Linked DNA regions of Coturnix japonica. The protein of the gene in region 2 interacts with the protein of the main gene of each other region in a pairwise test. Links are inferred from orthologs where the notes say so. Each region holds a gene or a part of one and is shown on either strand. Other genes may lie near its edges.

Region 1 (4,230 bases), about 51 Mb from region 2:
CACTAAACCACGTCCCTCAGTACAACATCTACACGTTTCTTGAACACCTTCAGGGACGGTGACTCCACTACCTCCCAAATGATGATAAATTATATGTCCTGTAAGAGCCTTTTCAATTCTAATGAATAAAAGTCTGGTTAGCATAAATAGTGCTGGGCTGTTTCAAGCTACCTATTCCTAAAGAGCATCACATGCCTTTTGCTCAGGAGGGAAGAATTGATCTCTGTGCCTTACGTGCTGCATCACTGAGCATCTGCTGCCAGCCCCAGCCCTGCTCCCACTGGGAATGGGGCTTCAAAGCACCTCCCCCCAGGTGAGAGATGCGCAAGTCCATATTGCCATCAAGCCCCTTGCCATCAAGCAAAACACATTTACATTCTTCCCAGTTCCTTACAGAGGTTGAAAGCACAAGCACAGCTCTTGGGCAAGCACAGAAAAAGGCACAATACATTTCTGACACATAGTATTTCCCCTTCCCAAAGAGGTAAAAAGCCAACAAGAGAGATTTTTGTATGCATCAAAGGGAAAACAATCGGCCAAGACTTAAAGACAGACGGCTGATGTTTACAGATGCTTGGTCTCAGTTTGTTTTCCTATACTTCCTCATAAAGCATGGTTGTTTCTCAGACCCTTTACGAAGTCTATTTACTTCTGTTATCATGAGCTGTTGACAGGATGGACTGTAAACCCAGATCACTCGAAGGGTGGAGCTCAGCATCGTTTCTGTTTTGCTAACCAGAAAAGTCTATTTTTATAGGTGTTTCAATACACCCAGAAGAATGTAATGGAACTGGGCCATCACAGCTATGGTTACAAAATAATGAAACTATCCACACCTATGAAGTGAGACAGGTACAGAACAGACTGAAGCCACACTGAAGCTCACTGGTGTCTTAAGTTAAACAAAACCACTTAAGAAACCAGGTGAAATTCATGCACTTGCAGTCAAAGTTCTGCACACAACTGGGAAAGGATCCACAAAAATCAGCAGATCTCTGGGGCAAAAGAATAAGTTTGCATTTCCAGTGCAAGCAAACCAGCCAGAAAAGCAATAGGCAAGCAATATATTTTATCACAAAACCATAGGATCATTTGAGTTGGAAGGGCTCTCTAAGGGCCATCTGATCCAACTCCCCTGCAATGCATGGGGGCACCCACAGCTCCACCAGGTGCTCAGAGCCCATCCAGCCTGACCATGACTGCCTGCAGGGATGGGGCACCGCCACCTCTCTGGGCAACCTTATATCCAATCTAAATCTCCCCTCTTTTAGTTTGGAACCATTTCCCCTTGAGAGATCACAACACAGACTGTTAAAGAGTCTCTCCCCTTCTTTCTTATAGCCCTTTTTCTGCCTAATCCACAGAAAACACAGAGGGAAAAGTAATGTCTAACCACCCAGTGGACACACACCATGAGCTGTTCCACACGGAGGAGTTCTTCAAGCCTTATACATGAGCAAGACGAAAGCACCCACACAACAGGAAGGCTCTTAGAGCAGCAGATATGATGATGTTCCCTGATGCACCAGGCAACACCAGGAAAACTCCAGGTAAGGAGAATGGGGAGGTGGTTCAGTGAAAGGTACCGGTGAGTCACTGTACAAAGAGTAACTGCAAGCAAGGAGAACAAACACTCTCCCTCCCGTGCCCAGCACAGCCATTTCACCAGCTACAATGTCTGCTTTCACTTTAAAAAGCTTGGCTAGAACTAAACAGCTTCTACAGTTGTTCTTACATACGCACACAGTGTACTTAATCACCACCTAAAGTACATGCTTTACAGCTGGTAACAAGCAAAGAGCCAGGTCTTGACATCTATTTATTTATAAATCTTGCTGCTGGAGGTAATGTCTGAGTTAAGAACCAAGCAATGCCCAGCAGGAGCAGATGCACCGTGACACACACGCGGATGGAGCCAGCTCTTCCCACTAATCGTGGATTTTAAACCCTCTGGATAACAAAAGCAGCAAGAGAGCATGGATTGCAGGCACGGGAGAGATGCGGGTTTCCAAGCACTGTGGAAGGGACGAGAGTTGCTCCCCCCCGCCCTGCTGTGCTCCCTTTCCTTCGGGCTCCCAGGAGCACCCAGAGGTGCCACCCAACTCGCGAGGTCTCCTCGCTGCCGTTCGCTCCCCGATCCGAACCGGAGGGGCTCGACCGTAGACCTAGTGAGGTCCCTTCCTATCCGAGTCGTGCCACGATCTTAAGTTCAGCTTCGCTTTTAAGATCTTGAATAACAACAGATCTCATACACGCACACATGGAACGGGGGGATAAAGGAGAAACACGCTCCCACGTCCGCATCCCTGCGATACAGCCACACACAAAGCCCGGGGCTGCATTACCCAGCAATGGGCCGGCTCCTCAACTCTTTGTGTTCACCCCCCAGCCCCTCCAGCCGCAGCCAGCACAAGGTGCGGGCTGAGCCCCGACCTCCCCCACCTCAACCTCCGTCCGGAGACCCCAAGCGGCTTTCGATCGCACAGCCCGAGGCTACAGACAACACCCTTTGTTAAATGAATGAGCTGGGAAAGCAGGAGGGAGGCGATCTCAATGCCGTTCCCCCCCCCCCCCCCCAAACCTCTTTCTTAAATTGAATGGAAAGGGGAAGGGAAAAAAAAAAAAGAGAGAGAGAAAGAGAGAAGAAAAATAAGAACCCAGCCGCTCATCCTCTTTACAAACTTTCCAGTTACAAAAAGAAAAAAGAAAAGATCGCGGAGGAAATCCCCGGCCCAGCAGCACTCACCTTCCGCCCGCTGCAAGGTGCCGCCCGCTCTCCGCCCTGCCCGCTCCCCGCGGCCGCCCGGCGCCGCCTCCCCGCACCCTCCCCGCTATCATTGGCTCCGGAGGGGTCCAGGAGTCCGCCCCCTCCACCAAGGTGGGCAGCCCAAGGTTGGGGGAGAAGTTTGGAGCCGGTGTGTTGTGTTGGAGCTTTGGGATGGGCTGGTTGTTCGGTGCCCGGTGCTTATAGAGCACGGGGTTGGTGCGGGACTGAAGGATGGTTCGCGATTATGGTGATAAGGCCGAGGGGAGGGGATGGCCGGCTGTAGTGACTTGGTTTCTGTTCTCGGTATCTCAGAACCGGCTCCATTAGGGACCGTGTGGCTCGCAGATCCAAAAAAGGAAAGAAGGGAAACTGGCTCTGCCCTGCTGCTGTGCTGCACAGCAGGATGTGCGTATCGCAGGGATGTTACCTTATACTGCAAGAGATGGGGTTTGTCCTCCCCCACGATGCAAAGCTCGCTGGAAACTTGTCCCCGTAGTTAGCAGGAGTGTTCAGCACCGCGCTTGTGCTCTGCTGGGAGAGAAGAGGTGGGGTTTGATCACAGGCATTCAGGAAAAGGAAACGGTGAGGCTGTCTAGACAGAGATGTCAAACGCTAAGTGGAACAGGTAGATACATGGGAGGCAAATAATGCAGGTCACCACATCAGACCTGATCTTACAGAGTCACAGCACGCTCGTATACAACAGCATTGCACAGCCTTGCCCTTCCCTCCTGTATCAGCGTTTATCAGTTCCCCTGATAAGTTTGTTCAGGAGCTAATGAATCCGACTGAAATACACAAATAGAGGAAGTGAGAACACAAGGAGTGGCAGGGAAGGTTGGAGTGCAGCAGGGCTGATTTCAATCAGCTTAACCTGTTGCTGAACCACATGCTCAGTTACTTCCCCCTAGATATGGGAACCCCCAGGTACGTGGGAGTCGTGCGTGATCACTGCAGCGAGGAAAACTGCACAGCTGAGCTCAGATTCCATAGCTGCAAAGGAAGCACACAGAGCTGAAGTTAGAACTGAGCACAGCTCCCTTTCCATCCCACACCGAGTCCCGAAGAGTGACTCTTTCTGTACTCTGAATAAGAAAACCTCTTAAGAAACAAGGATGCACCCTGATAGTTTTGAAAACAAGTTTGAAAACAAGCCAGGTGAGAGACTGGTCCAAAGTACTCCTAAGGGTGCCCTCTCTGAAAGATATCTGACCAAACACATTTATCCAACCCCATGACAGTGATATGGAGAATGGTGATGGGAAGTTACTGGCAGTGGTTGGCCTAAGGCCTGGCCCACCATCAGCCCATGGATTGCTCCAACAGCCCCTGCTATGGCTGCTGTTATATTTGTATCACAGCAGCACGGAACAACCAGAATACTGCACTTTAATTAGAAGCATTGTAAAGCAAAAAGACTTTGTCTATGCACAGGTTATCTTGGTTCAGAAATCGTTTCACTT
Region 2 (3,988 bases):
GGAGATTAAAACTCCTCCAAATCAAAGTCAAATGTGAGCACGAAAGGAGCTGAAAAGAAAGGGGCTTTCCGTTCCTCCCTGAGGTACACACTTAGTCTTTCGTGGAAGAAACAAGAGGCCACATTTTCCTTTCAGTTTTATCTAGCAGGCATGTGAAAGGCAACTGAGGCTTCCGAAACCATCAATTAAATGCTGAAAGAACAGGTAGAAGTTTGCAAGGAGAAGAGGGAATTATTCACAGACTTCTAAACTATTTCAAACCAAAACACAGCAAAATCTCAGGATATGTATTTTTGTAACTGGTTGAAAGTTGGTACGAAGTTCCTCTCCATTAAGTTCCATGTTAGTTGGGGAAACAAGACAGAATTTTGTTGATACTGCTAAGTTTGCTTTGGGTTTGTGCATTTAATAATGAATAATGAGCTAAAGCCTAAACCAGCACTGGTAGAGCTCAAATCTCTTCATTAAGAGAGGTTTGTGTTGAAAAGTCAATTGTTTTACAGTGTCTCAAAGTGACTTCCTCTTGCAGCACTGATTTTTCCTTTTTGAACTCCCTGATTGCCTCCACAAGGACAAACCCTTCCAGTTCCCAATCTGCCAGTGGCACAAAGACACATAGTGGGTTAGCACAAGTATTCTGCCCTTGTGGGGCCTCATCTGTAGTATCATGTCCAGGTCTGGGGCCCTCAGCACAGGAGGGATGTGGAGCTGTTGGAATGGGCCCAGAGGAGGGGCATGAATGTTGTCAGAGGGCTGGAGCACCTCTCTTACAAAGAAAGGTTGAGGGAGCTGGGCTTGTTCAGTGTGGACCAGGCTCCAGGGAGATTTCATTGCAGCCTTTCAGTATTTGAAGGGAGCTTACCAACAGGAGGCAGATCAACTTTTTGCAGTTTAACAGTGACTAGGCAAGTGGGAATGGTTTTAAGCTAGAAGAGGGGAGATTTAGGTTAGATGCTAGAAGGAAATTCTTTACACAGGGGATGGCGAGGTGCTGGCATTGCCACTCAGAATAGCTGTGGTGCCTCATCCCTGGAGATGCTCAAGGCCAGGTTGGATGGGGTGCTGGGCAGCTTGAGCTGGTGGGGGGCAGCCCTGCCCATGGCACTGGGTGGGGTTGGGTGGTCTGTGAGCTCCCTTCTGACCCAAGTTATTCTATTCTTCTGTGACACAGGGCTGCGGCTGGAACTGGGTCCCACAGCACTACTTGATGAGGCCGCAGGTTGAGTCAGTCCTTCATCCCACCATTGATTTTACCCTCAACATCAGCTTTTGGTAAGTCATCTTGAAGACCTTGTGGGAAATACTGGCTTTCAGCACTCATGCCTGGCAAAGTTGTGGAAGCTTCTCCCTGGAAGCATTCTAGGCCAGGCTGGATGGGACTTTGAGCAACCTGGTCTACTGGGAGGTGTCCCTGCCTACAGAAGGGGGTTGGGACTAGATGATCTTAAAGGCCCCTCCAACCCAAACTATTCTGTGATTCTGTGCATGGAGTGGCACAGCAGTTTTCCAGAAGGGCACAATCTTGTGGCAGAAGCTTTCTGCTATGGGCAGAAAGCCAACAGCTCTGTAACTTCAACACAAAGGCTGCCGAGGGAGGGGGGTGCTGAGATGCACCTATGGCTCACACCTGCCCAAGGCACGCAGCAAGGGACTGAAGGGGACAGTTTCCACGCCGGATGCCTTCTCCACACGGACAGCAGGTAACAGCCCCAGCACTAGCACCACAAGCGGGTTCCCCCCGTTTCTTTGAGCACTTTCCCCGGAGATCTGGGAGGCACCCCCAGCCCCCAACCGGGCCGGGCCTTCCTGCTGCTGGAGGTGGGGGAAGGAAGGGCGGGGGCGGGCGGAGGAAGCGCCGGCACTCCCGGAGCGCGAGGGGGAGCCCGGGGAGCTCCTCCCGCGCGATCCCGGCAGCGGCAGCGGCAGGAAGGGCAGGGCGGGGGCGGGGGCTGTGCGAGGTGGGGGCCGGGCGGTCGATCGGGCGGAGGAGGGGCCGGGGCCGCCGCCGGCTGAGGGAGGCGAGGAGCGGAGCCGCCGAGGGCCGGGGCCTTGGACGCGTCCGGAGGAGGAAGAGGAAGGGGGGGAGCCGGCCCCTCTCGGAGCACGCAGCCCGCATCCGCTTGTGGAAGGGAAGAGGGAAGCGGAGGGGGGGGGAGCGAGCGAGCGGGTACCGCCGCCGAGGAGACAAAGAAGCGGAGCCCGCCCGGGCTGGGAGCCTCCCCGCGCCGCTCCGCCCCGCTCCCACCGGCCGGGCCGGGCCGAGGTGAGCGCACCCCGTGGGAGGGCGGGACGGGGCCGCCGCAAACTTGTGTCGGCCGTAGGGGACAGGAGGTGGGGGCAGGGCGGAGGGGGGTCACCTGGGCGGGGGCTCCCCGGGGAGGGGGCAGGTGGCGGCGGGGGGTGGTGAGGGAAGGGGCCCGGCGGGCTCCTGACAGCCGCCGCTTTGTGTCAGCGAGGGGAGAGCGGCACAAAGGAGAAGTTGGCCCGGGGAGGCGGAGGGGTCCCTCGCAGCCGGGGCACGGCCGGAAAGTTTTGCGGTGGGGGCGGTGTGCGGGGCAGTGCGGGCACGGGCTGACCCGGGGGCCGCGGGGAATATTCTGGTAAGCGGCTGCCGAGGGTTTTGTCGAGCAGTGGCCGCTTAAACGGCATCGAGCTTTAAACAACAAAAAAAAGGAAAGAAAAGGAAAGGGGAAAAAAAAAAAAAAAGTTGGGATGACACGTTGCGTGCCCAGGAAGCGCGTCTCGGGGGGTTGGGGTGGGAATTGGCTCTTCCTCTCCTCGCCGTGCCCTGTGTAGGAAGCTGCCCGAGCACGGGGAGCTGCCAGTCCTCTGTGGAGTTTGCCTCCTCGGTTCTGCTGGCTCGGGGTTTATTTTTACGGCTTTATGGCTCGTTGTGAGCATCAGAGTTATTCTGTGAATTGACTGAACGTTGCCGTGTTCTTTTGTTAGCTCAAAACTTGAGCGAACTCCGTTCCTTTTGTGTGCGGTGATGTGTGTGCTCCTGAGAAAGTGCTGTGGCAGCCGCACGTTCTGTGCGGGTTCCTCACATGGAACACGCCGTTGCCCTTTATAAAAACAAACCTCCATGGTTCAGCCTGTGCATGGCTAATGTCATCTGGAGCCGGGCATGGAGGCATTCAAAAGGGCAGAGCTCATGCAGGGCTTCTTTCTGAATGCGTTCCTGCCCCTGCTTGTCAGCATCAGTACCGCAGAGGAGGTGTTTGTGGTACTGTGTGTGTGTTCGTAGGACTAGAGCTGGAGCGAAATCACTTTGTGACTCACAGATACTGGTATTTTTCAGCTCTGGAGTTGAAGTTGGGTGTCCCACCCTGGTCAGCATCAGCAGCCATGTCCTCATATCTGACTTTCTCCTTGAAACTTAGCCAGGCAGTGTTGCTTTCGGGAGCAGTGCATAAATGCAGACATAGGAGGCACCTGTACTGCTAAGATCACAGTTGTAATTAGCTAGTATCTGTATGTAGGCCATGAAGCAGATCTGGTCTCATTATACCATCAGCTCCCCTCGCAGTTTTTCTGTCAGTGTATGGTTAGCTGCCCCTATGAGCCTTTTACTTCTGCAAGATAGTGTTTCCAATTGCTGTTACAGTTACCTCTTTTGCTGTGTTCCTCCAAAAACAGGAGCAGAGTTAGTCCGTGGTTGTCTGGACAGTCCCTTATGTTAGTCCTTATTGTTAAATATATAATCAGTTCAAAGCTCCGGCCTTTGCCTTGTTTCTGTGCTGAAAAGGGAACTCATTCCTTTTCTCTCCTTCCTCCTGTTTTCTCCCTAGTTTCTTTCCTAGCTGTGTGGTAGCGTTAAAGGTGTTTGCGCTCTTATGTGTCACCTCTCATGTACTGTGTGCTAAAGAAGAGGGACAAGGTCAGCAGCATCTGCTTTGTTTCCAGGCTTTGCTATTTATTTTTTTTTCAATTTTCTTTTTTTTTTTTTTTTCCTTCTTCTGTGTGTGTGTGTGTGGCTGCTGACATG
Region 3 (3,500 bases), about 90 Mb from region 2:
TCTCCCAATCACAGTAAGGAGGAAGCAATTAAAATGAATACTTGCACTCACTATACTTTTTAACTCTGACTATTAGCTATCCTATACATTGATTCTAAAGTAACAAAATTTACTCATACAAAAAATTACCCACAAGTTTTGCAGTGTTTTATTAGCCAGTCTCTGAATCATATAGAATATCTGAAGAAATGCATTAGAGACAAAAGCTGAGACTGTCAAATTGACCCACTGCTTGATATTTCTAAAACAGTGTTAGTTCCTCTGGTAGAAAGAAAACGCAGAATAACAAGCAATACTATCCTCTTAAGTGCAAGAAGTGGAACAAGATCCTATAGCCAGTTTAGCATAAGAGGAAATGTCTAAAAATTCATACCTCCCTGAGTTTTGAGTATTATTTTTCGTGTGCCTCCCATAGAATGGAATATGTAATTTTTCTCTTATGGACATGTTATTTCCAGTGAAACGCCTATGATATATAATTAATGACAATTTAAATAGTTATGGATGATAGTCTTAACATTTTTATTGAAAATAGTGGACAGAAGTTATTCTGTCCTATCCCCATTCCTTCCCTCCCCAGCCATTCTGTAAACTGCAGACAACTTAGATTTTGTCCATCAAAAAACACAAAGCACCTTATTATATCTCAGGCAATTAAGCCAAATGCTTGAATTTCTACAACTTCTATAGGAACACAGTATGTACAATTGTTGGGGTTTTTTTCAACTTTGTGCTCACATGTAAAAGGAAGAATCAAAGTGCCTTTGCAGGAAACACTTTAGGCAAGAGAAGACTCTCTCAACAATATCAGTAAAATCACAAATGAAAAATTCACACGTAACTGCGTAGAAGGTATCTCTCTTAAAATTAGACCCCAAAAGTTCTAAGGAATGGTGAAAGTATGTTGAAAATGAAGACAACAGCGGCATGACAGATGCTTGAAAGCACAAATGCAAAAGCTGTTTCAAACAAGATGTGAAACGCTTCACTAGTCAAGTCAGAGGGACTCAAAAACCCCGACCCAGACTGGATTAACTACAGAAAAGGCCACTGCTACAAACACAGAAAGACTGTACAAAATTACAAGTAGCTTAACAGGAAAGCAAAACAAAAGTCTTGCAATAAATTCCCACTCAGCTTTTGAGACAAAAGCTAACTTTTAATTGAACCCTTAAGAAAAAAGGAACAAGCCGAACTGCTAGAAGATGAAAATGACATGAGCTTGGTGTGGCACCATCCTCAACACATGCACATATTCAAAGAGAACACCAGAGCATTTTACAATGACAGCTTGCAAAGCAAGATGGCAAAGGGACAAGTGAGAATTTCAAGTTATGACAGCAGCACAACCAGAAGCTACTGGCAGGAAGTGATATAAGTTAGCATGTAGAACACACAGAATGATGATACTGTGAACAATGTACACAAACAGTTCAAAGCCGAAAAGGGAAAGCAAGATTACTAGCAATGCATTTTAAGGTTTTCTTACTGCTACAAACACACTTATGAGTTCATTCACTAAGAAGCGAACGGGCAAATCTCATGATTGCAGGGATCCCCTCCAGCTTTGCTGTTTTGTTTTGCTTTTTCCCCCTTGTTTACTTTTTCTAACATTTGCATTAAAAAGTTTTTAAAAAATCCTGTGTTTCCTACAAGGAATAAAGTCTGCCATACGGCATATAACACCAAAAATACTCACCTTCCAGGTGGCCCATAGTCACCTCTGTCATATGGTGGAGGTCGGCCATATGGATCTGTTGGAGGTGGGCCACGGCTGTCTGAAGTAGGTATGCCACTATTGGCAGGTGGGGGGAAGAAAGCTGGGTTCACATGTGGTGCAGGAGGTGGAGCACCTGGAGGTGGCCCGGGGAGATGTGGAGGAGGAGCGAGAGTCAGGGGTGGCCCGAGAGGGCCGGGTGGACGAGGGGGAAATGGACCCGGAGGTGGAGGTGGACCCTGCTGAGGTGGTGGCGGACCCGGTGGCGGCCCATAGCCTGGAACTGGAGGTGGAGGGCCTGGAGGAAGTGGCCCAAGAGGAGGCTGACCAAAAGGCTGTCCTGGAAACAGAACTGGTGGTGGTGGGCGGTCACCACGATTAGGAGGTCCAGCTAAAGGAGGTGGGAGGACCTGACCAGGAGGTGGGGGGCCTGGTGGGCCTGGTGGACCAGGAGGGCCTAAGGGTGGACGTGGGGGAGTTTGTCCAGCTACAAAAAAATAAATAAATAAAAAGTTAATAAACATGAAGAAATAAAAGAGTCACAAAAATAATTAAGATCTTGTCCTTTTTTTTTTTTTTTTTTCCTCAGACAAAAAGCCTTCACTGAACAATTCACATCTTGCACAACACATGCAGAGCTCCACTTTTGGGTCCAGTATCTTAGATATATTTATAACTGGTTATCTATACTGAAAGAGAACATTAACCTGAAAACAGAACCAACCACTTCAAGTTTTTGGTAATTCTATGTGCCTGCTTACTGACCTTAATTTTTGTAATTCCCAAATAAGCATACTGCATTAATAAAAGAAAATAAAAATTAAACTGAAACCCTCCACATTCAGTATTTTACCTGGGAACGGTGGTGGTGGCCCTCCTGGCCCTGCTGGTCCAGGGAATCTGTCTCCACCTGGAATGGCACCTGGGAAACGGCCTCGCCCTCTATTACTAGGTGGAAATGCTGCTCTTGAGCTTCCTCCTGGAGGACCAGCTTTACCTTCCCCAGACATCTGGCCAGACTGTGTGGCTGCAGTGGAAAAATGTCATTATGTAAATCAAAATAGTTTAAAGCTTTTCAATTCTTCTAAAGTTTTATGTAGCACTAAAGCATCACCTTGATCCCCAGTACCACAAAGGAAAAAACACTTTGCTAAGATTCAGCAGCATTTCAGTATCCCCACACCACAAGAATGGAAGTGTAGAAACTCAGTCCATTAAGTTAGTCTAATCTGCCTACAAATGCTGCACCTCTACTTCTCCAATCTTAAGAAGAGTCTTACAAAGCTGCATAATAAGCACTTCCAGCAATTTCTCCTATTAAAACCACAGACATAAAAACACATTGAATTAACTGTTTTGTTTTCAGTTTTTAAGGGGATCTTCTACTTAATTTTTTTAAAACAAAGCTGCAACTTCATTCACTTAATACTTATATAGAAATCTTTAACTGTGCAGAAATTATCAGATACTGAGAGAAGAACTGCAGGACAACTTCCGGAATAAACTTCCAATCTTTCCAAGATGGCACAAGAGAGAGACTTACTTTTCCTTGACTGCATTTCAAACTGACTCAGAAATTGTTTATTACAAGGAGTCACAACAGGATTCTGCCCATGCAGTTCTCTTTTAGGCAACAAATCCATCAACTTTTTGGAGGATGCTTCCGATCCCACACCCACAAGGGCAAACCTGAAAGGAAGAAAAAAAAACAGTTACACTGCAGTTTTTTTGTTTCCTGGATATCCTGATGCCTCATGAATAAACACTTAACACAGTGAGCAAA
Region 4 (4,103 bases), on a different chromosome or scaffold from region 2:
AGGGAGTGATTTTTAATCTAATGAGGGGCGATTATGGATTACAAATATAGAAATGCAGCGACTAACAACAGTTCTTGCTGCCATACATTAGGATGGCATTAAGTAGCATCAGAGCTTAGGATTAATAAAGGGGTGGGGTTAAATGGTTGGTCCAAAATTCTGCCTTTTCCTGAAGAAAAACCAAAGACATTGGAGCTACCCAGCTGCTGTCAGAAGGTGCCTATTTTCAGTTTGTGAAGTTCCTCATTGTGTGAATGGACAGAACGCTTTCTTCCTCGGAGAGAGAAGGGGGCAATCAGCAGTTAACTACTTTGGTCTTCTGAAAGTCTCAGAAAGTGAGGTGTGTAGCACAGTGCTATCAATGTAAGCACAATCGCAACTTGATGTTCCCACCCGTGTCCACTAAATCCAATGGAAGGCTGCAGTCATTTCAGGATACAATCTGTGACATTCCTCAGTGTGTTTTTTTGTATGCATCACAAAATTAAATAAACAGAAAGCAATACGGATACTTCCCTGTCAGTGAAAGGGACCCATTTCCTTTTTTTCCCTTCAGCTTTAAGTACACTGACAAATACAATAAATCCCTACACCGACAGGCATTTTTCAGTAGTAACAGGGACTCAAATTGTAGCACTCCCCATCTGCCGCACAAAAATCTGACAATTCCTTTTATTTCATAAAGCGTAAGGAAGATGCAATGATGGAATTCACCACCGCTGTTTGACAAAGTACAGCTTTCATTCCTGGAAGACTTTTCAGCCCGGCTACATGAGATAAAACTCAACTAATCCTATCTTGAATGACAAAATTAATTTATTAATGTAATAATGGTATCCTTTGGGGTCATTTTCCTAAACGGTTCCAATCGTCCACCACTCTACTGAGCCAACAACATTTTGGCTGCAAGAGGTCACGGTTTCGATTGGGAACTCCACAGCTCTGTGGAAAAGCCTTTCACTTTCTCTTCCTTGATAATATACAATTCGCTACGCCCGCTCAGGAGCTCTCAGAGCACCGAGTCCTTTCCTTCCCAAGTGCCCACTGCCCCCTCGCTGCATCCCTGACGGCCCTTTGGTTTGTGTGTGCTATCTTCACATCGCCTGCACCGCACGCCTTCGGTCAGAGCTGCCCATGCCAGGCTCAGCCGGCTTAAGCAGAGATTATGTCAAGGCTTTTGCGCGCTCAGAGCTCCTGAATCACCCTCCTAAAATAACTGCGGCTCTATATGTTTTTCTGCTCGTCTTTAAGCAAGAGTTGTGGTGTTGTGAAAAGTCAGACAGCTCCTTCCTTCCCTCCGCCCCCGGTACTAGCAACTTTCTAAAGCTTTCAATCACCCGTTTGGCCTACGGACCCCAGTTTTCTCCCCTTCCACGCCGAGGACCGAGCTGCACGCACGGCCAGATCCTACGCACGGAGCGCAAAAGCTTCGGACCGTCCCGTGCAGCCCCACGCTGCGATCTCCCTCTTCAGCGCCGCGATGCCGCAGCCCGCGGTCAGGGCGGAGGCAAGGAGCGTGTCCCGTCCCCAGCTTCGAAGCAGAGGTGGCGGATCGGCAAGAGGGAGGGGGACGAGGGGCCAGATGCTAAAATCCATTCCGAAACTACGAAAGCTCTCGCCCTGTCGGATGGAAACTTTCCTCCCGCCACCGCCACCTTCACTACTTCATGCGCTATCACGTGCTGGATTTTTCCTTTTTATTTCTCCCCCCCCCGCGGCCCTAATAAAGCTGCCCTTAATGACGGACATCCCGAGAACGCGGCCGAGGGCAGCCCGGTGGCAGCCCCGCTGCAAACGGAGCAGGGCCGAGCCGAGACAGCCGGGGCCCTGCAGCGCAGCTCCCCGACACCCTCCGCCCGGGGTTCCCTCCCCGCAGGGAAAGCCGCCGTTACCTGAGCTGTCGCTTTTCCTCTTCCCAGATCTCTTCTCCGTTTCCACAGGGGACAGAGCCTGCCTGCCATAGTCCCCCGGCGCACACGCTGCCCCCGTAGGGGTGGTAGTGCCCAGGCTGGAGGAGTTCGAACACAGCACGGGGGGGCTGCTGCCCAGCTCCGGGGGTCCTCCTGAGTCCGGCTGGAGGCAGAGGCTGTGCCTGGCCGCGGCGGGAGGAGACGACATCTGAGGGATGTGCCAGTTCGTCTGCAAAGCCTGGTGCTGCTGTTGCTGGTGGTGGTGGTGGTGATGATGGTGGTGATGGTGGTGCCCCCTATGATGCTGGCTGGCAAACATGCCCTCCTCATTGGGGTATCCCGTTATTATGCAAGAGGAAGAAGAAGAAGACAGATCGGGGTAGGACATGTGGTCGGATCTTCCATGCAGGGCAAGAGAAGACTGGGAGAAAGGGTGCAAGCTCTGCGCGGTGGCATGGGGGCTGCGCAGGCAGCCAAAGAGTGTGTGATCCATGGCATGCAAGTCTCAGGTTCCAGGCAGGAGAGTTTAGGAAGGATCCAACTTCACCACCCTTTGTCAACTTTCACTGTAAACAGATCGGGGCTGGGATTTTTTTTTCCAAAACGGCAACGACCGACTTTGCAGCAGGCGACTGAGCTCAGATAATCCAGGTCTTTAGCCCTAGCGGCCAGTCTCCGCTGCATAAACACTCGGACCTAGATGAGCCTTTCTCAGAGCCGCTCGGATGTCAAGAAGTGGGAGAGGTTGAAGCCAATAGAAGGTGGTCCCAGAGAACTGCTTGAAGGGGGAAACGGCTCCGAGAGGTTATAAATACAGTAGTGTGTAATGTGAGCTGGGGGCTGGCTTAGCGGCACAGCACTGACCACATGCAAACTCCCTCCAAAACGCCAGCGCCGTCCCCGCGCCGAGCGGCTCCGGCAGCGGGCGGCAGCGCTGCGCGCCCCGGGGGGGGGGGGGGGGGGGGGGGGGGTGGCCGGGGGCGGCCCGGAGGGGAGCAGCGGCTTCTCCTCCCCCTCGACGCGAGGAGCGCGTCCGCCGCTCCGCCGGGGCTGTCCGCTCCCCCCTCCGGACGGATGCGGGGCGAGGCGGGGGGCGTCTGGGCCCCATGGGGCCATCCCCGCACCGCACCTCTCCCAGAAGGGAGCGCGATAAAGGACACCCAGCGGGATGTGCACAGGGGCGAAGTGTGGGAGAAATCAAATACACCTGGAGGGCGCGGGGCTGCAGCCCCACCTGAGCTCCCAGCGTACCTGGGCACGGCACGGCCCGGCTGTGCGAGGCTGTTCTGCCTAGCGCAGCCCCGCAGTCACCTCCGCGCACACCTCGCCCTTAAGGACAGGAGGGACCACCAGTGCCTGTGGGTCTACAACTAAACTCCCGGCGCTCAGCGAGCCGCCACGTGTTTTCGAACACAGACAAGTCGCCCCTTTTGCCCCTCCAAAAGCGCAGTTTACCCAACTTCTCTGCTTCTCCATTTGCTACATTGCAGCCTTTATAGTGGGACAACCTGGAGAGGGACAGCCCGGGCTGCGCGTGTCGTGGGATTAGCAGTAGCGCCGAGGAAGGCTGTATACGGGTTTATATTAAGATAAAGCGCTTACAGAACGCTGCCCAAAGAGATGCCCGCTGCCGAAACGCTGAGTTCCTTCTCCCTTTCTCTTCGCTCTACCTTCCTCGTCCTCCCCGCAAACCAAACTTGAAGTGAAAAGGAAATAAATAAATAAATAAATAAAAAATAAAAGGAAAAAGAAAAAGCACCGCGCTCTGTCATTTCAGTCTAAACTCTTGGGTCCATGTGCGAAAGATAAAATGAATTCGAATTGCCATTGGAAAAAATCAGGAATTGTATGAGATTTGCAAGAGCTGGTTTCTTAAACGGAAATTGAGTCCTATTTTGTGGGAAATTAGTTTTGCAGACTTTCTGGGGGAAAAAAAAAAAAAAAAAATCTAAAACTTTTGTTCAGCAGCTGCTCCGCTTTTCCTTGCAGTTTCAGGCTGAGCTGGAACCTGCAGCAGCCTTTCGACGGTAAGACTTTCCCCCCTTTTCTGCCATCTAATGCTTTTTAAGTATTGTCTCTAGATTTAACTGTAATAATGAGGTCTTTAAAAAGGGAGCGGCGTCCAAAGCAGAAGTCGCTGCCTCCGTGCACTGTTCAAAACTTGATATTTCTTCAGAATAAAGGAAATATACA
Region 5 (3,946 bases), on a different chromosome or scaffold from region 2:
TGAAGCTGCAGAGAGCTTTCCCTCGGGAACCACGGGGGGCTGGATGGGCTCAGGGACACGAGTGCTCCTCCTGCCAACAGAGCAGGCACTGAGCCCATGCTGACAGGACACAGAGGGCAGCTGCATTGGGCAGTGCACCCCATGGCTCTGTCCCTGCTCAGTGACACCCAAGCTAAAGATTCCCTACTCTACACCATCCCAGAAGCCTCACCCCATGGTGCCTGCAGACTGTGTGGTTATCTTCATCCCTTTCCGAGACAGTGTGCCTGTCCTGGACAGCTGAGTGCTGTGATCCTGCAGGCAGAAGAAAACACATACACATGACAAGTTCATTGCACTCCATGCCTACCATGCCCTTATAGTGCCCCAAAGGCCTTTGCTGAACCCTTCTCAAAAGGATGGGGGGTGGTGAGGGGCTGCCCCAGCTAATAGAAGTAGATATTGGTGCTGATAGAAGCAGATATTGGTGCTGCTGTCTGGCATTGCCACCGTGGGAACTGCAGCCCCAGCACTGTCACTTCCCCTTCGACTCCACAGCGGTTTCACACTGTGCACGTGGCTCTGATGCTGCTGAAAACCCACAGACGCCTTCCGGTGAGGGGGCAGCTTACAGGGGCAGTTTCAGTGCTGGAACAGCACTGTGGGTGTAATGCAACTCAGCCTTAGCCAAGCAACTCTGGGACTGTGTGCCTTTATGGCATTGTCAGTGTCCCATTCCCCTCCTGCACCAAGATGAGCCCCACTGGGACAAGTCCTGGAGGAAGCATAGACAGACCCCCTTTCTCCATCCAGGAGGGGTTTGTACCCCCACCAGATCACATAAAGCCCATCTAAACCCCCATCTACCCACGGGACACCCTCCAGGCTGACCTTTATGCCGTGACCGATGTCATCCAGGATGCTGAAGTTGAGGGGTTTCCTGTAGTAGGGCTCTAGGGAGGGTGGGTTGGGGGGGGATGTGATCTTCTGGTGGGATGGGAACCTCTTACTGACGGTCAAAGCGCCGATCTCCCGACGAGATACTTTCTCCTTGTGCATGTCAACGCTCTGTGGAGGCAGCAGGAAAGGCTCTAAGGAGCCCTCAAATATCAGGAAGAAAGTGAGTGGCTGCAGGGCTCTGAGTCATTGTCCCTAGTTCTCCAAGGGGACGAGGCCAGTGTCCACCGAGGGGAGATAACAGCATCTGAGCCTATGTGACTGCTGCAGGGTAGCTCCTTGGGGGCTTCCCCAGAGGCTGCCATGGTCCCCAAACACCCAGACTAAGACAAGCCCTTAAGAACAGTTTCCCACCCCTCGGTAGTCTTGTCCTTTAGCTTCTTGGGTGACCAAGGTGCTGCAGGGGCTGACAGGCCATTAAAACCACAAGAAAAGTTGGTCTCCAGTCCCTGTAAGCTGCTCCTTTCTCAGGGCTGAAACCCCACAGCAGTACAGACCCATGGCAGTGGCTGAGGTCAGACCCACCTGGGCTACACAGCTGACATTGGCCTCCAGCTTTTGCAGCTCGGCTGCCTGCAGGTCCAGCAGCTGCAGGAAGGTGGTGGCCAGGCTGCTGACCTGATAAGCCACACTGGCCAAGGACTGTGTGCTGAAAGCCATCGTCTCCTCCAGAGCCTTCCTCTTGTCGCTTGCCTGGAGGGTGAAACACAGCTGTGATGAGCTGGGATGGCTGAGAGCACAAAGTGCCGCCGCCGTCATACCCAAACCAGGGTCACAAGGGAGCAAAGGGGCTTCCTTCTGCTTTCCAAATGCATCACAGTTCCTCCAGCTCAGGCAGTGGGACTCAGCGATGCTCAGCACCATCAGGGTGCAGTGGGAGAAGCACAGAGGGGATCAGGAGGGTCTGTGCTGTTGGGACTGTTCCAGTCCCGCTGCCAGCAGCTGGGGAAGCAGTCTCAGTTCTCTGAGCTGTTTTGCATGCTTCCCCTTCAGAGATGCAGCTGGGGGGCTGTGAACCGACCAGAAGCTTCAGCATGAGAAAACAACCCAGCCCTGGATGATGCTTAACTGAGGCAGCAGCAATGCCCGGCCATGGGACAGAGTGCAGATTCACAGCCCCAGATGGGGTGAGGGAACAACCATCACCACTCCCTTGGGTCTGCCATGGGGGAATGAGGCTACCAAGGTGGGATCCTTAAAGCACCCAAGAGACCCCCGGTCAGGGCACTGTTCCCAGCCAATGGGGCCAAACCAACCCTTTGCCATCCCCTCAGCAGGTCACAGGGACAGGGGGGAGTAGGACAGCACAGAGCCCATTGCCCACCCTATGCTGGGAAGGAGTGAGCACTGTCAGCACCTCCCAGACCCTGAGCTGCCATCCCTGCTCCCCTCCAGCACCAAAAAACCCCAGAAGACCCCCCCCACAATGTCCCACACATAACCCTGATGGCTGAGCAGAGGGGAAACTGAGGCACGAGAGAAGCTCTCAATGCTGGGCAGGAAATGAATGGGAACAGCAAAGCCTTCACCCCCACACCATCCTCCCCATCACCACCACAGACCCCCCAACCCATCCCAGCCCCACACACATCCCTACACCCCACCTGCAGGTAGTTGCTCTCGCAATACTCAGCCACACGCTGCAGGTTGTTGTGGTTATCACGCAGTCCCTGCCGTGCTGCGGGGACATCGCAGGGCTGCAGCGGCTCCGCCATAGCGCTGGGACCGGAGCCCACTTCCTCCCCAGTCTTTAAGGCGCCGAGTTTTGAAGCTCGCGGTGATGCTGACGTATTGCTTTGCTGATGCTCCGTGGGTTGTCACCTCTCCCAGCTTCCCTTGGTGGAGGTTTGGAGGCTGCAGGTAGAACCTGAAAGCTGTTGGAGTGCTGCAAGGCCGCCTACAACTGCTCTACACATCCATACTCACCCCCTCTAATTCAACCAGCCCCATCAAGGGAGTATGGCTTCTTCATGAGGCTGAAGGCAGCATGGCCATGGGTAGGGCACCATTTCCAGGTCAGTGCTGCAGTTTGGCTCCTGACAGCCCAAATTTGGTAATTTGGAGCTTGCACCTCCATCCTCTGATGGAGCCTGGGGGGCAGGGGGCCAGGCCTGGCTCTGTTGCACCCAGCAAGGGCAATTCCCTTCCCCTTGCCTTTATGGGACTGGCAGGAGGAGATCTAGCTCCAGAGTGATGCTTCCATTGCCAGCTCATCTTCTCCAGACAGCCCCGTGCCTGCACCTCACCCAGCTCAGGCTGGGTGCAGCCATCAGTTTCTGCTTAGCTCTGTTTGCTGGGACAACACGTCCCTCCTTGTGCTTTGCTAATGGTTTTTCCCATCCGCACAGGACAGTGCAAGAGGCCACAGCCAAGGGCAGGAAACTCTCACTTCCCAGCACTGGGAGGGTCCCTCATGCTGGGAATCCCCCTCTACCTCCTCCTCCTTATGCTTCCTTGGGGCCTCCTGAGTTCTGTCCTCAGCTTTAGGGCTTCACATGGGCAAAGCAAGAGCCAAATGTCCATAATTGCCCACAGCAATTAAGGTGAGGATGAGGGAAATGATGAACCAGCTCTGCTTCTCACCCCCTTAATGGCCAAGAGCCACCCCAGCTGCCTCCTGCCCCCCCCATTCCATCCCATAGGAGAAAGGGATGCTCCCTTTGCTCCCCCAGCCAGGCCCCAGGCCTACATAGGCTCAAAAACACACAGTGTGAGCTCAGGGGCTGCTGAGTGCCCCACAAAGCTCATCTCCACCCTTGCCCTTCCTCCCTCACCCTCCCCTATGGCCCCACCACTGATTACCCCAAGCTTTGAGGCTAATGCCCAACACCTGACCAGCTTATTCTTCTGAGTCTATTATCAGCTTAGGGACCAAAGACATCTGCTCCTTGCTACAGGCTGGGAGATCCAAAGGAGTCTTCAAACAGAACAGTGCAGACACAGAGGACGGCAGCTCGATGGGTTTCTGAACATCTCCAGCAGTGAGAGGGGCAGCCCCTCATCCATACAG
Region 6 (3,500 bases), on a different chromosome or scaffold from region 2:
ATCTCCCCAACTAAGGCATAGGGCAACCCAGATGCACTTTGCTATTTTAACAACTGCTGCAGGAAGCATTCCTTCATTTCCCCCCTTGAGTGCCTGTAATGGAGGAAGGAGGAGAATGTGATCGTTTGGTACAAGGTTTAGAACAAGGTTATCATAATACTCCTCCAGTGGAGGAACTTCTATTGTCCTCACTGCACTACCCCAACCCTTGGCACCAGCCAGTCAGCAAAGCTCTGCATGTATTACCTTACTCTCCACTACGGAGATGAGGATCTGCTCCATGATGCCGCTGGTTGCCGGGACCAAGGTCTGGATGTGGCCGATGACCACCCCAATGGCCACACGTGACAGCTCATAGCTGAGGTGGGTGTTTCTGCGGACCAACTCAATCAGTTCGGCACCTATGGTCTTGGGGACAGATGCCACCAGCCCACTGGGTTCTGGAGGTACTGGCTCCACCACAGCAGCCTTCTTATCTTCGAGACAGAGAGAGCTGAATGATTCCAGGTTTGTGGGGGTCGCTGCTGCAGCTTTCTTGCCCTGCAGAGTCTTCTCCCCATCTGCAGCATGGGACCTCGGGGCCCCCACTTCAGATGGTGGTGCTGGGGCAGCTCGTTTGGTCTGAGGGGATTTGCTGGCTCCATCCTTTGGGGAAGATGTGTAGCGGGAATGGGCTGCGGGGCCGGTGTCCAGGTTGCGTGTGATGGTGGTGTGCACACTGCGGCTGGGGACGGGTGGAGGTGTGGTGGCAGGGCTGGAGGCAGCCGTGGGCAGAGCTGCATCTGAAGCAGAGGAAGGGGTGTACAGGGTGTCCAGGGACGTGGTGCTCACCGAGGAGGCACTGGAAGCTGACCCAGGGATAATTTCCACGGCATCTGAAAGAGAACAATTAAAATGCCTTAGCAACAGCATCAAAGGGAAAAAGAACAAACAAATTGCTACAGCGCAGTCCATTAAAAGGCTCATTGTGCATGCACCAGAGCAGCTTAACTCCTCTTCCTGCCTCACTTATCTCAAAGCAAAATTGTACCGAGTTCCCTCCGGAGCATTCCCACACAATCACCTCTTTAGAAGGGGGAAAACTGCTCTATTGAGATGAATATCCTTCAAAGGGCTTAGTGTTTCACACCCGGAACGGGAGGGAAGAAGAAACAGGACTAAGGGACAGAAGAAGCCTTCTCCCCATGGCATAGCAAGGGCCTTTTTCCTGCGCTCAGGATATGAGCCATCACTTTGAATACCGGTGCCTGCAGGATGTGTGCTGGCACAGGCAGCTGTCAGCATCTCCCTCCTGCCCAGACCTCTCCCTGTGGCACTGACTGCACACCGCAGCCAGCACCGACAGCAGGGAAATATTTGGCTGACATGCATCTGTAGTTCCTCCTTCTCAGCACTCCTGAGCATTCGCTCACAACCCCACAGCCCCACTGGCACACGCTCCTCTCACAAGCCAATGCATTTTCTGCTCTACTTCTACGTGCTTCTCCAGCAATGCCTCACTCTGTCTGACCTTCCTAGGAAAAAAAATCCACTACAGCCAACCAAAGAGACATTGAGATTCTTCTTTCCCAGCATCCAGGCTAATATACACTTGTACCAAACTACGCCCAGTATCTTTTGGGGGCAGAAACATAACTGAGCCCTTCCCTGACTGTGAAAATGGACATTTACTTGGGCAGACATTGGGATGTCTTCACCCAGGGCTTGGAGAGAACAGCTAACGGTGGCTCTAGTGGAGCACAAGTGACAGGGAGCCCAGCCCTTAGGGAAGGCAGCTTCACTCTGTTCAAGTGTTCCTGCAGCCTCGCAGAGTCTGGTTCGGGTTTGTTGGTAGGTCTTTTGTTTGTTTTTGATATAACTGCTTGTCCCCAGGAAGCTCCCCTTACCTTCGCGCTACACATCTTTACCCAGCACCAAGTGAGTGACTGGCAGGACAGCCCTGCAGAGCACCTGCCATGTGTCTCCCACTGAGCAATACATCCTACAGCCAACCCCAATTTCCTGCTGCCCTTTGTTTCTGGAGGCCACTGGGAGGAGGAGCATGAGCTGTGCAGAAAGGCCCCCTCCCTCCCATGGGGGCTCAGCATCCCTCTTTCTCCTTCCTCTTCACCCTGTTTCATTAAATCAAGATAATGAGTTCAAGGGAACTGACCTTTGCAAATTCCCACTACTACAGTGAAAATGACTCAGTATCATTAAGGGAGCCGGTGCCAGCCCCAGGTTTCCATCAACTATATACAACTCAACAGATCCATCCTACTTCCCACAGGGGAACATGGGTGAGTTTGACATGGGCCATGTGTCATCAACCACATATATCCATCTAAGCACAGAAGAGCAGGTGGGCATGTTGGCAGTAAGTCAGAGCATCGCTGCTTGTTTCCCCTCCAGTCCCTCTGTGCTGAGGGTGGGGAAGCTCCTGCACTGGCCCTGTGGTCCAGCTCTGCTCAGAGGCCCTGTAGGCAGAGCACACACAGCTGTGCCCTTGGCATTATTTCTGCTTCATACAGAGACCAGCTGATTCGGTGGAAATCTCATCTGACCACTGTACAAATAAAGCGCATGATGGACTGGGAGCCAAAAGCAGACCTGGGCCTGTCCCAGGAGCACTGCCAGTGAGCTCCCCCTGGTGAAGCAGTGCACTTAGCACAGCCCTGATAAAGTCCCTTTGCCTGCCTGGAAAAGCTCCACGGTGCTGCAGGAGAGACACAGCCCCACTGCTCCCATGTTGGCCAAGCAAGCCAGGCCAGCAGGCAGCAAGCCTTGTGCTGCATTCTCAGGCAGGAGGACGCCTGCCATACCTGGATGGCTGTGCCAGGCTTCCAGGGCCCTTGCAGCAGCAGGACCACAAAGGTTTCTCACCCCAGAAGTCGCCCTTACTTTTCAGGGGTGCGGCCATCTGTGCGTTCTTGCGTTTCTCTGGAGGTGGGGGGGTGATGGGAGCAGCACGTCGGGGCTGCGGCGGGATCTGCAAGGAGAGATTTCACAGCAATCAAAGGAGGCAGGCAATAAAGACATTCTGTTATGAAACCTTCTTCCTTGCGTGCGTAAATCTGCCCTTACATCTCTCTCACCGCTCTGGGAAGTTTTCTCAGGAGGATGGATTATTAATAGGCAGTTTCCTAGAAGAACAAAGCAGGGCTCACACCCGCTCCATCCCCTCCCCGTGACAGGAGGAGCAGCCCTTGTTTAATTGCTGCGTTCAGCAGCACACAGCACATGTCGTGTAGACCTGTCAAGCATTTACTCCTCCTTTCTTCCCAGCACAATCCCACACACTCACTACGGCTTTACATTACTCTCAATAGCTCCACAGAGGCTGCAAACAGAGCGCGTATTTAGGCACTCTTCTGGAGAGATCCATTACATCAGCCACAAATACCCTTGCAGAAAGACAAAGCCAAGGACTGGCGATGTGTAAATGCCTTTTCCACACTCTCATTGCTATTCCTGATAATGCAGGAGGGAAAAAATAGGATAGACCCTCTGTGCAATTCTAC
Region 7 (4,067 bases), on a different chromosome or scaffold from region 2:
CATTCCTAAGTTTAGAGTAGGAAAACAATTTTTGCTTACCAAACGTCAGCAATATTAACAATATTGCAGGGCATGATTGATTATTTATTACATAGAAAATCATCCAAGTACAGTTCTGTTGCAGTTTGCAATGATAAAATACAACCTTTGCACTCATTTCCAGCTGTAACTCCCTCTTCGGTGCTTAGCTGTATATAATGATATAATTATATAAAACTGATGAAATTATGATCTAGAAAACCAGAAATACTTAAGATCTCTAAGTGAGGCTGAAGTCCCACAAACTAAACGACACCGAAAAAGAACAAGATAAAAAGCTTTTCCTACTTGTTGAAATGCATGTGAAATTAAAAGGGATACACTGTATCAGTCAGAATAAAAGGAAGTCAGTGTCGGGAGACTAAAAGCATCCTAAAGGTTAGACTGCATCATGGCTTTTCACAGCCTCTCTTTGAGAATGAATCCTCTTCGGACCACGGTCAGGAGTAGGGAGGTGACAATCTCTGAGTTTAGAATAGTTGGAATAGACAGAGTTAGAATAAACAGTTCATGGCAACACTGGAAGATTCTGGTTAGCAGTGAAATAGCTACAGCACACTGCAGGAAGTCAGCAGATCAGAGCTGGGTAAGATCACATCTGCCCACTTAACACTTCACACTTCTGAATCTGATAGGTTCAATCAACCACTGCTTCACTTCACAAGCCAAAATGTTTAACCTTTTTGATTTACGGACCGTAAGTAGTTTTATGTTGTACTTGTCTGCCTTGTAAAGCAAATTCCAGATCTCTACCAATACATAGCTTTTCTGTGCCGCTTTTTTATACCCCATTCTATGCAGGCCATGCCTTCTAGGGGTCCACAGACCAACAACAGGTAAAAATAACTTACAGACAAATCTTTTCCACCATCTTAGAAGACTGAATGTCATGGCAAGTAAGTCAATTTTCATCTGCTAGGTCAAGCCTGCCTCAAATTCTGACAAAATGAAGAAGTGATACATAATCTGTTATCTACATTATCATCTATTTGCTCTGGCATGTCTGCATACAGAAGATAAAAGCAAACAACAGCGTCCAATTCCTCAATACAGGAGGATGCATTCCCTATGAAAAAAAACCATCCTTATGATATCAATCAAACTCAACCCAATATGCCTTAAAAATCTAATTCTTAAATGAGCGATCTTCCAAGGGACGTTAGAAGCTGCTGGTGGGACACTGACACAAGTGACTTTCATATTCTGGTGTCTACAGTGTGTGTATTTAAGTCACATATGAGGAAATGCGTTCTCCTCTTAGCTGGAATGCATGACAAAGCAACAGTGATCACATGCAATAATTATTAACAGGCTACTGACACCTCTCACATTGACCAGAATAGAAATCTTCCACTTCAGTGTGCTGCAAACAAGCAAGAGGAAACAGAACCAAACTAGACACATTTTTTCCCTATTGCTGGAGGTTCTTCACATGAGATTTGCATTACGATAAGTGAATTTACAGTCATTCTACTTTTAGGAGTCTTTGTGAAACCATCTCTCTTTAAGGACAAAAGCAGTTTTCCCCACAGGTCTCCAGAGGTCCCGTGTAGCCGATTTGACATCACAAGGAGATACGCGTCAGTGAAACGGTGCCGTTACTTCACTCTGTGAGAACGGCACATTTTCCCTTTTTTAGTGAGGCTGCAGACACTTCCCCGCAAAGGGGGAACTTGCAGAATGGGCACTAGTGAACTTACACAATTTGGGTTAACCCCATCTCCCTCTGCAGTTTGCCTGTGTACTTTAAGCAGTTTTATCTGCGCACGTCAGCTAAGACGGACAGCAGCTCAGCACACCCTGTGACCGGTGGCACTGCGGCAAGAGGCAGCAGATTTGTACCCCAAAGAGAGAGCGTGCAAACGGTGGGGAATAAAGCAACATTTAGGAAGAGCTGCCTTCTCTACAGAACATCGCAGGACACCACCGAGGCGGTGCGCGGCAGGGCCAGGTTACTCGGCTGAACACTCAGTAGCACAGCTCTGCCAGCGACTACAAGCCAAGCGGAGCAAGGCGGGGTAGAAACTGCAGTGCCCATCACCTGCTGTTAGCTGCCTCCGAGCGAGAGCAGCGCCGCCTGCGCGACCCCAGCGCTCCCGGAGCCATTCTCCTTTCCTCTTCCCCTCCTGCCGGCCGGCAGCACCGCCCTACCTGCGGGTACGGGCACCTCCGCGCTCCGCTGCCGCCCCGCGCAGCAGCACCTGCCGCTTCCCCTGCCGTTCCCGACCGACTCCCGCCGCTTCCCCCCGGTCCCCACCGTGCTGCCGCAGCACCTACCGGAGGCCGTCATGGTCCGGGGCTGTTGCAGCGCACGGCGCCGTGTGTCCCGCGGTCACTTCCTCGGCCCGTCCGGAGCCCCGCTCCGCAGCCCGCCCCCCGCCGGGCAGCACCGCCCCCGGGGCCGCTCCGAGCGCAGCTCCAGCCCCGACGGCGGCAGGTCTTTGCTCGTGCTAACAGGGCACAGGCTGAGCCCCGGCCGTTCCTTCCTGCTCTAACAACGCTCGTTTTCACTTTCCAGCGCTTTTAAAACCCAGGTGCCGGAATGCTGCGGAGCTACCGTTCCAAAGCAAGCGTTTAGGACGACCGCTTATGTCTTCTCCGGGATCCCCTCGAATAGACAATTCGACAGTGTCTCTCTTCCTCCTTCCAGCTAAAGCTACTCCAGCTCAGTGAGGATTAGGAGGGATGGAAACCAAAGAGACTGATACAGCGGGAAGAGAGCAGGTGAACGTGGAGTGGTAATAACAAAGAGATGGTACAGTGCTTAAAGTCACACCTGTCAAACAGGAAAGGTGGAAAACGTAAGAGCCAGAGAGGACAAGTGATGAACATATGAACATACCTCGGTGCCCTTAGATTCACCAGTGCCCAAATGAATTCTGAGTACGTGCAATGGAATAAAGACCATCTGGGTGCTGGAGAAATGGGAAGCTACTGAATCCAACATTTATAAAGGACAGAAGTCCACCAGATGGAAGCTGGTCTAATTTTTGGATATCATGGAATAATACTCACATATTCAGAAACAGATAGAAGTAAAAATAGATGGACAAACATGTATATGCTCCATGATTACCGTTATTTCTCTTGCAAATCCATTTAATCTCAAAGTAATATATATATATATCTCAAAATCATCCCTCTGGTGTCAGATTAGGATTTAAACATGCACTTTGAAACCAGCTTTTACATCATTTCTCCCTTGAAAGCTTTGCAGGATCATATAAACAGCTAACAATGCCATCTTCTTGCTCAATGAGAATCCATGGGATTTCTCCATGTACATCAGTGTCACCTGGGATGCCATTTGATTCCATCAATGTAGAACACAGGAAATCCCTTTAGCCTGTCAAATGAAATTAATGTGCCTCCCCAAAGTAACTGTCTGTGCACCATTTCAGCACTTTACAACAACCTCCTCCTGAAAAACCAGATTACAACAGGACGCTTTAGACACACTAGGAACCAAAAAGTGCCAGAAGATACACTTTAGTGTATGGAAAAAGAATTTGTGGGTTGGGAAAAAGCAAAAGAAGGGCCTCATTGTGCTACTGAGGAAGAGCCAGGTCGTCTCTCTGCAAGTCAGGCTCTCTGTCTTCATTTAAGGCTGCAGCTCCATGCACAGCAGCTTGTGCAAAGGAAAACAGATTTCATTACTTCAATTCAAGCTAAAGCTGAGCCTTGCTGAGCCTGTTCTTCATTAGAAATCAGCGTGATCTGCACCTTCCACACAGGAACAGCACTACTTAACCCACCCTACAGTATAAAAACCATTTTGCCACGGACTTCCAGAGCAAGGGTGGAAAATTCATCACGTTTTCTGTTATTCCCTCCATTTCCCCTATGGCTGATAACCCAATGACCTTTTGCTTCCAGTCCTAGGATTCCTCTTTTGCCCGCCACCACATTTCCAATACAGCACTGACTAAAGCAGCACTTGACAGTGAGGAAGGCGTGTCACTTGCTTTTCCTTGCTCTAACATCTGTCCCACACAATTGCCCACAGAGGTCAGACCACATAGCAGGGT

The links.
Region 1: the proteins of NCK2 (region 2) and PAK1 interact in binary tests that used the Homo sapiens proteins (3 or more experiments, as listed by UniProt). The link is inferred for Coturnix japonica from reciprocal best matches to the Homo sapiens genes NCK2 and PAK1.
Region 3: the proteins of NCK2 (region 2) and CPSF6 interact in binary tests that used the Homo sapiens proteins (3 or more experiments, as listed by UniProt). The two-hybrid records come from large-scale screens. The link is inferred for Coturnix japonica from reciprocal best matches to the Homo sapiens genes NCK2 and CPSF6.
Region 4: the proteins of NCK2 (region 2) and MEOX2 interact in binary tests that used the Homo sapiens proteins (3 or more experiments, as listed by UniProt). The two-hybrid records come from large-scale screens. The link is inferred for Coturnix japonica from reciprocal best matches to the Homo sapiens genes NCK2 and MEOX2.
Region 5: the proteins of NCK2 (region 2) and ABI3 interact in binary tests that used the Homo sapiens proteins (3 or more experiments, as listed by UniProt). The two-hybrid records come from large-scale screens. The link is inferred for Coturnix japonica from reciprocal best matches to the Homo sapiens genes NCK2 and ABI3.
Region 6: the proteins of NCK2 (region 2) and NCKIPSD interact in binary tests that used the Homo sapiens proteins (3 or more experiments, as listed by UniProt). The two-hybrid records come from large-scale screens. The link is inferred for Coturnix japonica from reciprocal best matches to the Homo sapiens genes NCK2 and NCKIPSD.
Region 7: the proteins of NCK2 (region 2) and PIK3AP1 interact in binary tests that used the Homo sapiens proteins (3 or more experiments, as listed by UniProt). The two-hybrid records come from large-scale screens. The link is inferred for Coturnix japonica from reciprocal best matches to the Homo sapiens genes NCK2 and PIK3AP1.

Annotation. Positions count from the first base shown.
Region 1 is NC_029516.1:172,810,024-172,814,253, reverse strand, and holds the start of PAK1 (serine/threonine-protein kinase PAK 1), read right to left. Parts: upstream 2,801-4,230; 5' UTR 2,747-2,800; intron 1-2,746. UniProt on the Homo sapiens protein: Protein kinase involved in intracellular signaling pathways downstream of integrins and receptor-type kinases that plays an important role in cytoskeleton dynamics, in cell adhesion, migration, proliferation, apoptosis, mitosis, and in vesicle-mediated transport processes.
Region 2 is NC_029516.1:122,011,203-122,015,190, forward strand, and holds the start of NCK2 (cytoplasmic protein NCK2), read left to right. Parts: upstream 1-1,188; 5' UTR 1,189-1,272; intron 1,273-1,985; exon of another isoform or gene 1,986-2,263; intron 2,264-3,988. UniProt on the Homo sapiens protein: Adapter protein which associates with tyrosine-phosphorylated growth factor receptors or their cellular substrates. Maintains low levels of EIF2S1 phosphorylation by promoting its dephosphorylation by PP1.
Region 3 is NC_029516.1:32,114,225-32,117,724, reverse strand, and holds part of CPSF6 (cleavage and polyadenylation specificity factor subunit 6), read right to left. Parts: intron 3,407-3,500; coding exon 3,261-3,406; intron 2,745-3,260; coding exon 2,571-2,744; intron 2,205-2,570; coding exon 1,700-2,204; intron 467-1,699; coding exon 374-466; intron 1-373. UniProt on the Homo sapiens protein: Component of the cleavage factor Im (CFIm) complex that functions as an activator of the pre-mRNA 3'-end cleavage and polyadenylation processing required for the maturation of pre-mRNA into functional mRNAs.
Region 4 is NC_029517.1:25,764,175-25,768,277, forward strand, and holds the start of MEOX2 (homeobox protein MOX-2), read right to left. Parts: upstream 2,801-4,103; 5' UTR 2,404-2,800; coding exon 1,893-2,403; intron 1-1,892. UniProt on the Homo sapiens protein: Mesodermal transcription factor that plays a key role in somitogenesis and somitogenesis and limb muscle differentiation. Required during limb development for normal appendicular muscle formation and for the normal regulation of myogenic genes.
Region 5 is NC_029542.1:3,004,010-3,007,955, forward strand, and holds the start of ABI3 (ABI gene family member 3), read right to left. Parts: upstream 2,801-3,946; 5' UTR 2,652-2,800; coding exon 2,541-2,651; intron 1,630-2,540; coding exon 1,462-1,629; intron 1,048-1,461; coding exon 871-1,047; intron 295-870; coding exon 212-294; intron 71-211; coding exon 1-70. UniProt on the Homo sapiens protein: May inhibit tumor metastasis. In vitro, reduces cell motility.
Region 6 is NC_029527.1:6,669,894-6,673,393, reverse strand, and holds part of NCKIPSD (NCK-interacting protein with SH3 domain), read right to left. Parts: intron 2,969-3,500; coding exon 2,881-2,968; intron 876-2,880; coding exon 247-875; intron 1-246. UniProt on the Homo sapiens protein: Has an important role in stress fiber formation induced by active diaphanous protein homolog 1 (DRF1). Induces microspike formation, in vivo. In vitro, stimulates N-WASP-induced ARP2/3 complex activation in the absence of CDC42.
Region 7 is NC_029521.1:14,289,526-14,293,592, forward strand, and holds the start of PIK3AP1 (phosphoinositide 3-kinase adapter protein 1), read right to left. Parts: upstream 2,801-4,067; 5' UTR 2,330-2,800; coding exon 2,317-2,329; intron 1-2,316. UniProt on the Homo sapiens protein: Signaling adapter that contributes to B-cell development by linking B-cell receptor (BCR) signaling to the phosphoinositide 3-kinase (PI3K)-Akt signaling pathway.